2 linked regions of the Nothobranchius furzeri genome follow. The protein of the gene in region 2 purifies or fractionates together with the protein of the main gene of each other region. This does not show direct contact. Links are inferred from orthologs where the notes say so. Each region holds a gene or a part of one and is shown on either strand. Other genes may lie near its edges. The genes, in order: ncl and heterogeneous nuclear ribonucleoprotein D0.

Evidence for each region.
Region 1: the proteins of heterogeneous nuclear ribonucleoprotein D0 (region 2) and ncl purify together in Homo sapiens (affinity purification with western blotting; 3 studies listed by BioGRID, with this or other methods). This does not show direct contact. The link is inferred for Nothobranchius furzeri from reciprocal best matches to the Homo sapiens genes HNRNPD and NCL.

Annotation. Positions count from the first base shown.
Region 1 is NC_091748.1:62,945,027-62,949,634, forward strand, and holds the start of ncl (nucleolin), read right to left. Parts: upstream 2,950-4,608; 5' UTR 2,780-2,949; coding exon 2,762-2,779; intron 1,850-2,761; coding exon 1,754-1,849; intron 1,678-1,753; coding exon 1,569-1,677; intron 1,324-1,568; coding exon 1,174-1,323; intron 1,101-1,173; exon of another isoform or gene 963-1,100; intron 879-962; coding exon 591-878; intron 218-590; coding exon 65-217; intron 1-64. UniProt on the Homo sapiens protein: Nucleolin is the major nucleolar protein of growing eukaryotic cells. It is found associated with intranucleolar chromatin and pre-ribosomal particles. It induces chromatin decondensation by binding to histone H1.
Region 2 is NC_091746.1:62,892,556-62,896,809, forward strand, and holds the start of heterogeneous nuclear ribonucleoprotein D0, read right to left. Parts: upstream 2,912-4,254; 5' UTR 2,691-2,911; coding exon 2,521-2,690; intron 1-2,520. Other genes in the region: enoph1 (enolase-phosphatase E1), read left to right, coding at 3,580-3,664, 3,887-3,978, 4,118-4,219. UniProt on the Homo sapiens protein: Binds with high affinity to RNA molecules that contain AU-rich elements (AREs) found within the 3'-UTR of many proto-oncogenes and cytokine mRNAs.

The sequences.
Region 1 (4,608 bases), on a different chromosome or scaffold from region 2:
CTTAATTTTTGAGTCAAGTTCCAGTACGAATATTAAGACACAAGAAAAGTTTCACAAAACTAACCTTCATCCTCCTCCTCATCATCATCTTCGTCGTCATCATCATCATCATCATCTTCCTCCTCCTCTGACTCCTCCTTGGCTTTGACCATGCCTGCTTTCTTTGCCTTGGTGGCTGCTGGAGCTGGAGTGGTGTCCATCTCCTCTTCTTCAGAGTCTGGAGTACAAACATCAGATCTGGACATCATTTCCTGTCCCCATGTTTTAGATCACATGATCCTTTTAAATCTACAATGGCAAATCTGCAAAACTAACTAGTCTAAAACACTTTCGTGCCTCTTAAAGGAAGACAAAAATAGTTTGTGAAGTTAAAAATTATGATAGCTGACGGGGAAAGAGAGTTCGGCGACTTTTTAAAAGCTGGCCCGTTTTGCAGATTTGCTATTGCAGCTTTGACCAACATCAGATATGTAAAAAGTGACATCAACCACAATCAGTATTAAGTCCCTTTTTCTTCATCACACAGTTAAAGCTGGTCCAGCGTAAAGTTTCTTTGTCAATAATTAAAAACAATAGAGAATCAGGCTTACCATCTTCATCGTCCTCCTCATCGTCAGACTCCTCTTTAGCAGGCTGTGCTTTAGCTGCAGATTTAGCAGCTGCTTTGGCCGCAGGTTTAGCGGCAGCTGCTTTGGCTGGAGTAGCCTTCTTTGGGGGTGGAGCTGCCTCCTCCTCCTCTGAATCATCTTCATCATCGTCGTCATCATCATCAGAAGACTCCTTTGGAGCAGGTTTGGCCTTTGCTGGGGCTTTGGCAGGAGGCTTGGCTGCTGGTTTTGCTGCTTTCTTGGGAGGTGGGGCCTCCTCTTCAGATTCATCTGAACAAGAAACATTGAAATTGGGTTATTTTTCACCCTCACTTCTAGGTAAGATTCATATAGAGCAGAAAACAAAACATGAAGCAATGTAACAGCGTTTGAGGATAGAACCGGCAGACATTAAAACACACCGGCACCGAAGACATAGCGCTGCCTTTACTTTTCCTCCGTACATTACACACATGAGTACCAATCAACTGCATGCATGCCAAGAAATGGAGGGTGTGGGGCCACTTCACTATTCACTTAGTCAAAGTTAACAAAAAAAAAAAAAAAAGTCTAAACCACCACATACCATCATCGTCATCTTCGTCGTCGTCATCATCATCAGACTGCTCAGCCTTGGCAGGCGCTGCTTTCACTGCTGTGGCTTTAGCAGCTGTCTTTGCAGATGCTGCTTTTGCAGGTGTCTTTTTAGGTGGTGGTGCCTCTTCCTCAGATTCCTCTGTGGGTGACCACGAGATAATTTCACAAATCAAATAAAATTTAACTTTTAGAAAAAAATCAATTATGCAACTAATAAATTATGCATTTAGGTTTATAATTTAAAATAAACTTTCTTAAGCAGCTCGTTATGTGTAGGCTAAATAAGAGTACATTGTGTGAGTTTGACGGGGATATCCCTTGAAAATTATTTTATTATGACATCAATAGGACCTGAAAAACCTAAATTTTATTAGTGCAGCTCACCAGAATCATCCTCTTCATCAGAACTTTCTTGTTTTTTGGCAGGGGTACCATTTTTGACTGCTGGGGAAGCTTTACCTGCTGCTTTTTTTGCTACTTTAGGTGGAGGGGTCTGGATTTTAAAAAGAAAGAAAGTTCAGTTATTTGAATTCAACAAACTGATATCAGTAACTAAGCAAGTGTTATACCTCTTCCTCCTCACTGCTTTCTTCTTCACTAGATTCCTCTTCCACTTTTTTGGGGGGTGGGGGGGCTTTTTTCTTTTTAATTTGTTGACTTGCTGCCTGAAAAAAAAAAGCCAGTGTTAATCCATAAAAACTAGAAAGACTACACAACAGTCAAAACGAATCTACAGCTCAACCGTTAAGCTTAAGTATATCAATTCAAGTTCATCCAAGTTAAACAAAAATAAATACCGCAAATAATGCAGACTGACTAACCAATCGTGACATCCGTCCGCCTTTACAGTAAACTACTTTCTCGGTTTTGGTTGAACACCGCGTGTGTCACTCATAGCGTGCGCCCACCCACGTGGAGCTCGTGAAGCTAACATAAGGCTAGCATCTGGGCTACATTTCACCACAGACGACTAAAACTACAACAAAAATCAAACCGCTTTGGGTAACAAACGTTCGACACGAAGATTCCAACAGATAACGAAAAACAAAACCCTTGAATTCGACTCAAAAACGTGTAAAGAAGATGCGGACCACGTACTTAAAATGTGCAACGTGCTAATGCTAAAACGGAATAGGATTAAACGTATGTTACATTATTACAAATGTATTACCAGTAACGTCAAAACTCTACTTTCCCACTTTAGTTTAATAAAAAAGCTCAATTTTTTAATCACAATAAAACCCAAACGCTTAAAAAGAGAAACGGACAAATAACACGACGAAAACTCGCCTAGCGTTAGCAGGCCGAGCTAGGCCTGGAAAACCAGAACCAGAGACGTCGACCAAATACAGCATGCTTTACATATTAGGGGGAAAAACTACTTTTGAAGGATTAGATTGTTAAAAATGTTGTGAAAATGCGCTGTCACTGCAACATATGCGCGCACATTCCTAACTTTGACTGGTTTTATTTTTCCAAAAACGCAGCACCTTAAGCCAAAGGCCTCGTGCGCCAAAAAAAAAAAATTCAAGCACGGCTCAGCGCGGACATTTTGATGTGATATAGATTCGTCTTACCTTTGCTAGCTTCACCATGGTTGCTTCTGATGTGTGTGTTTCAATGAAACACTAATATCTAAAGGTTTGATGACAAGTACCAAAATGTCTGCTGCATGCACGTGGATCTGTCTACTCAGTGGGACATTGGACTAGAAAGACAGACGGGTCGCAGAAGTGGTTTCTCTCCAGCTCCGCGCTGTGACGTCTGCCCGCCCACATGACCATTTCAACCAATCGGAAATTGACATATTTGCCTCGTGCACGCGCCTCGCCTACGAGCCGTTTACAGACTGTTTTTTTCTCTACACCTGAGCAAATTTCATCTAAAAATACCATTTCCGAGATTATCTGTGTGTTTAACTTCCAAGATTTGTCTTCGGATAGTGCCAAAAAAGTGCAATTTTCTAAATGTTGACACAAAGACAATGCGTCTTTATGCAACTCCGTGCAGCTGTTTTCTTTTGGTCAGCTGCCGTAAACCATCGACCGCGTCTACCACGTGGTTCTAGCATAACCCAGGGTATATTCAATCAGTTTTTAGGGCCACGTCGAACGTTTCAACCGCCAACAATAATTTGCCTTTAATAAAATATATTTTGATCAAACGTTACCACAGTTTTTCAATTGTACCAGTAAAGAGGATATCGCCCTCTCACTTTTTTTTCAAATCTCTTGAAGAGTTTGGGACACTGACACTGGGATTTTACAGCAAATACTAAAAGGGCAGAGGCATTGTGTATGCCACTGACTCCTCCAACCTGTGCTAAACATCTGGAGAAGCTGAGGTCCCACCCTATTTAGAATAGACTATTAATCCCATTTTGGGGAAATAACCTTGTTACTGCAGCACATACACTTTTAGACAAGGAAGAAGAAAACAACAAAAGTACAGGTAAACACATAGGCAGTAACCTGTTCTTGTAACATTCAACCCTCAAAACAATGAATACAAATAGACAACTGGGTTTCCAAAAATATGCAGCATAAGAGACACAGATAATGTACGTCCAGTATTGCACAATACTGAACACATGCTGAAAATGATATTTTTATATCTGATTCTATCTGATGATATTTTATCTGCCTCTCAAGATAAAAATCACGAGGTGCTTCACAAAAACAAAAAAACAATTAAAGTATAAAAAGATTTCAAAAATGATTAAAAATATGTTTAAAAGGAGAAAAGAAAAAAATGTAAGGAAAGGGAGAGAGAACATTTAATAGGGAAGAGGGACATTAATGGATCCTGGGAAAGGTGGAATAAGAGCAGAATAAGGGGAGGGAGGTGATGAAGGTCACGCAAAAGCTAGCTTGAACAGGTGAGATTTCAGCTGTATTTTAAAGGAGACCACTGAGTCCACCAATCTTAGGCTCAGGGGGAGAGAGTTCCAGAGTCTGGGGGCCACAGCAGCAAATTATCTGTCACCTTTGGTGTTTAGCCTGGTGCGTTGCACAACCAGTAGGCTTTGGTCACTGGACCTCAGGGACCCGCTGGGGGTGTAGGGATGGAGAAGATCACCAATGTATGATGGTGCTTGTCCATGTAAGGCCCTATAGACCAGAACCAGGATCTTGAAATGAACCCTGAAGTTGACTGGCAGCCTGTGAAGCTGGAGGAGAAGTGGGGTGATGTGAGTGTGTTTGGAGGACTTGGTCAGAAGCCGAGCACAGGCTTTCTGAACCACCTGTAGACGGTTCAGGTTCTGCTCAGACACGTGAAAAGAGAGTTACAGTAGTCTAAGCGTGAGGAGATGAAGGTGTGGATAACTGTCTCAAGTTCAGAGCGGGACAGAATGGGACTCAGCTTAGCAATGTTCCTGGGATGGAAGAAGGAAGAGCGAACAAGAGAACTGACATGAGAATCC
Region 2 (4,254 bases):
GTTGCACCTAATAAATAAAATTACTAACAAACTCAGGAATCTTTCTTTGCTTCACTGTTCTGGTGTAGTGATGGGAAATACGGCTCTTTTTAGAGAGCCGGTTCTTTTGGCTCCCAAGTGGCTCCTCAGATTTTCTGTTGCGTAGAATACATGTATAACCAAAATAATACTAAACTATATGTAAAATAATTTACTAATGTAAAAAAGCAATATATCAAATATTTATAATTTCTATTGATTTAATAACTGAACACTTTAAGAAATCTCCACTTCCCTACTGCTGGCGCTCATTTTCTCCTCTCTCTCGCTCGCCTTTTTCCTCCTCCTCATTCCCTCTCGTCTCCCTCCACCCGCATGTGCTCTGCTGTGTGTCTGTCTGAGTCTGATCCTCCCTCTTCCCCGCCCCTACTGCTCTGTGTGTGGACAGTCTGGACACACAGTTACACATGTTGACCAATCGCCTGTAGCTTTCACCAAGGCAGGGGGGGAGGGGGGAGGGACGGCTCCCAATGACGAGCCGGCTCCCGTCGTTCACTTCAAAGAGCCGGCTCTTAGAGCCGGTTCGTTCGCGACCGACACATCACTATTCTGGTGCTGAGGATATCACTAATGCGGATCAAAGGAGATACACAGATGAACGCACCTCTTATTTATTATTTGGAAACTACATTTACTGCAGCTGGCAGAGGCAGAGATTGTTTCTATTGATACATGAATTTACAGAATCGTTTTAAATGTTAAAAGGGGAAGACTGCAGGAGGGAGCGGTAAAATACAGGGGGTCCCCAGCTAAAACAAGAAACTTTACGAGTCTGATGAAACCCGCTGGTTTTCCATCAGGCAGTCACGGGGCAGCTCCAACGACCCAGTGGCTGTGCTGGGTCAGTTACCGAGCCCAGTCCGGTACCGGCTCGGCCGTGAAGAGCCGAGGCAACGTCATGCTCTGCTTAAGAAGAAGCGTTATTTTCCCGCTTCAGAAGAAGCGTCCAACGTGTTTTTACGCTTTCTCCGAGACATGTCACATTGCTAAGTTGTTAGCGCGCTAACACGTCAATAGTGCAGCGTAGCCTGCTGGAGGTTTTAAGGGTTCAGATGAAAACACCCGACCTCTCAGGCTGCTCACACATCGATCTTAAGTTGTCGCTGTTGCGCTCACGCCGTAATACAGTATTAGATGCGGTTAAAGTCAGACATGAAAAAATAAATAAATTTTACATGAATAAGTGATGCTTAGCCTGGTGGAGGGAGGAAAATCTTGCCTAATAAGCACTGGAGGAAACCCTGTCAAGATCGTTAACACTTGTTTATCTTACTGCTATTGAAACATGTAAACCAAAATGCATTATATCCATTGCTACCTTTCTAATTTTAAACTCAGTAACTTATGCTGTAACGTCACCTTGCTCTGCCTGCTCCTTTCTTCTTGCTGCCCGCCGGCTGTGATCACAAGCGACAACATAGTAGTTCCCGCTGCTTCTTCGGGAAACAGCGCATGGCGGGCCGCCACGGCTACGCCTATGTAAGGGAAACCCTGTATTTTAAAACATTTTCTAAATGCTTTTTTATATTTTTACATTTTTTTTTGTTTTTGTGAAGAGCCTCGTGATTTTTATCTTGAGAGGCACTATAGAAATGATATTTTCTTCTTCTTCTATTCTCTTACAGTACCAGTTGATCACTTTTTTTGAAGAATTTATTTGAGATTTTCTGGTTTTTATTAATTGTGCAATAGACAAATAATAATTAGATTAATCGCCATTAGAAAAGTCAACTATTCGATAAAATAATCGTCAGAATAATCATTTTAAAACTAATCGTTTACCCCCAGCCCTAACACCAAAGTAACTTGAGGTCTTAAGGGGAGACTGTGCAGTGTCTCTCCTTAAGCCCTCCTCCAAATAACCATGTTATTAGGGCAAGAATCTGACAATATGACAAATATCACAATAAAGGGGAGATGATACGATATAATGCAATACTAAAAGCCACATGATTAGCTATTTTAAAGACTGAATTTAATTTTAAATCACTCCAGACGCTTTCAAGACACATCCAGCGTTTTCTCGAGATCTTGTCGTTCCATCAGAATGAAGGCAGTAAAACTGCTGCTACCTAGCAGTCAGAGTTTGAATTGCATCAAACAAAATAATTACAGTAAATGTTAACATTTAAATTGTGAATTACAAACATCGAGAAATATTGATTCAGTGACATGAAATATCACAGCATTGATTTTCTTGCATTCCAACTGATTATGGTTATATCTAAACGGAGTGAGACAGCAGAGTCAACAACATGCTAAAGAAATGTGTCCCGTTATTCTCACTTTGACTACTCAACATAAACATCTTTATAATTGTGTAAATGTATTAAGTCTTACCGATTTCCTTGCTGAATTTGTCTCTATATGTACTTATGCAGATGTAGCATCCATGTTGTATATCCTTCATATAAGTCCAAAAGCTTTGACTGAGAGTGAAATAATAAATGACCGCGTTATGAAGCTGGAACAGTAACATACCCTTCGTCCTCCTCGTTTTTACTGGCGTCAATCCTCGACCCTTCGGCCTCGCCTCCCATCGTCAGGCCACAGTCCCCACTAGCGGACATCGGGTCGTCGTTGTTAGCATCTCCATCCTCCTCCATTCTCATCAGGCTCGAGCCTTCGCTGAATTCATAATCCTTCGACATATTTTGGTTTTTTCAGGCACCTAATTTTTAACTAAAGCGGCACCGGGAATTTTTGAGAAAATACAAATTCACAAAAAAATAGAAGTTGCGCTACAGATAGCTAGTGGCTAGCTAATATTTATTATCAAATACCATCAGATAAAAAAACGAAGCAAACGCAAACCGTGTAGCTTCTTCACGGAAACATCTAAGGTTTTGATTAACAGAAATTTAAAGCGTTTAAACTGATAATTAACTATCTTCCAAATGTTATTTTAATAATAAGAGCGTCGTTTTGTGTCGTTTTTTATCACCGTCACCGGATTCTTCTTCTCTGTTTTAAAAACGGATGAATTAGGAAACCAAACCGGGAACAGCGTCACCCAAACGTGCCGGTGTTACGTCGAAATGTGTGACCCCGTTGAAAACTGTTTCTCCCACTGGCTTTGCCCTGCCCCCTTGTGTTCGGTTCAGATGTAAAGAGATTCACACAGCTTTATCGCACATCCGACTCGCCTCATCAAAAAGTACATAATTTAAGTTATATATTTTCTTCACCTAACATTTTTGTCTTCGCAGTCGCACAAATATATTTGCCGAGGAACACCTATGACGACCATGCTGATGCTGACAGCAGCGAACAGTTTCAGACGGGGTAACCTATACAACATCTAAGTGTAAACATTAAACACGGTTAAAATAAACGTTCTTTGAACGGCAGATTATAATTTCAAGTGAACGTAAAGAGAAAATTAAAAATTGAATGGAAAATATACGGTGTGTGTGTTTTACGTAGAATATTTATCTAGTCAGCTAACACCCTCAAAGAAATAGCACACACGTAACAATGAATTCTAATTATTTTCTGACATGCAAAACAAAATATTATTAATTGTAAACTGTTCAAAATATGTTTTTAAATGATGAGTCCTTGCTATTAAAATACTCAGTATCGTCACCTAGTGAGTTGGAGGTGAATTGTCAGACCGGAACATGTGAGTTAGTTGTTGCATTGTGTGTTCGCTAAAGTAATGGCTTGAATAATCACGTAGCAGAGATCAACTAAAGCCATTTCCTGCTCATTTATAATCTCGGTTTTGCGGTATTCGACCTGGACACGCACGTGGGAACAGAGCCTCGCTGTAACACCACACTATTTAAGCTAAGCTATCGTTAGCTAAGATAAGAACCTCCACCATCCTTGTGTTTTATTCTAGTTACAGAAATGGCCACTGTTTCTATTCCTGCTCGCACTACAACAATCTTGTTGGACATCGAGGGAACCACTACACCAATTACATTCGTTAAGGTGAGTTACATTTGTTTTTATTGTATTAGGTGGGTCCAACCGTAATGCTAAGTAAAGAGCTAACAGTTGCATACGGCTAAAAACTGCCTGTTTCTAACAACTGAAAACTAATACACTCCGGGCTTTGTCACTTTTCCAGGATATTTTGTTTCCTTACATCAGGGAGCATCTGGAGGATCACCTGTCCACTCACTGGGAGGAAGACGAGTGCAAACAAGATGTGCATTTGCTAAAGAAACAGGTATGATTAAAGCCTTAAAGTGAAATTAAAGTGAA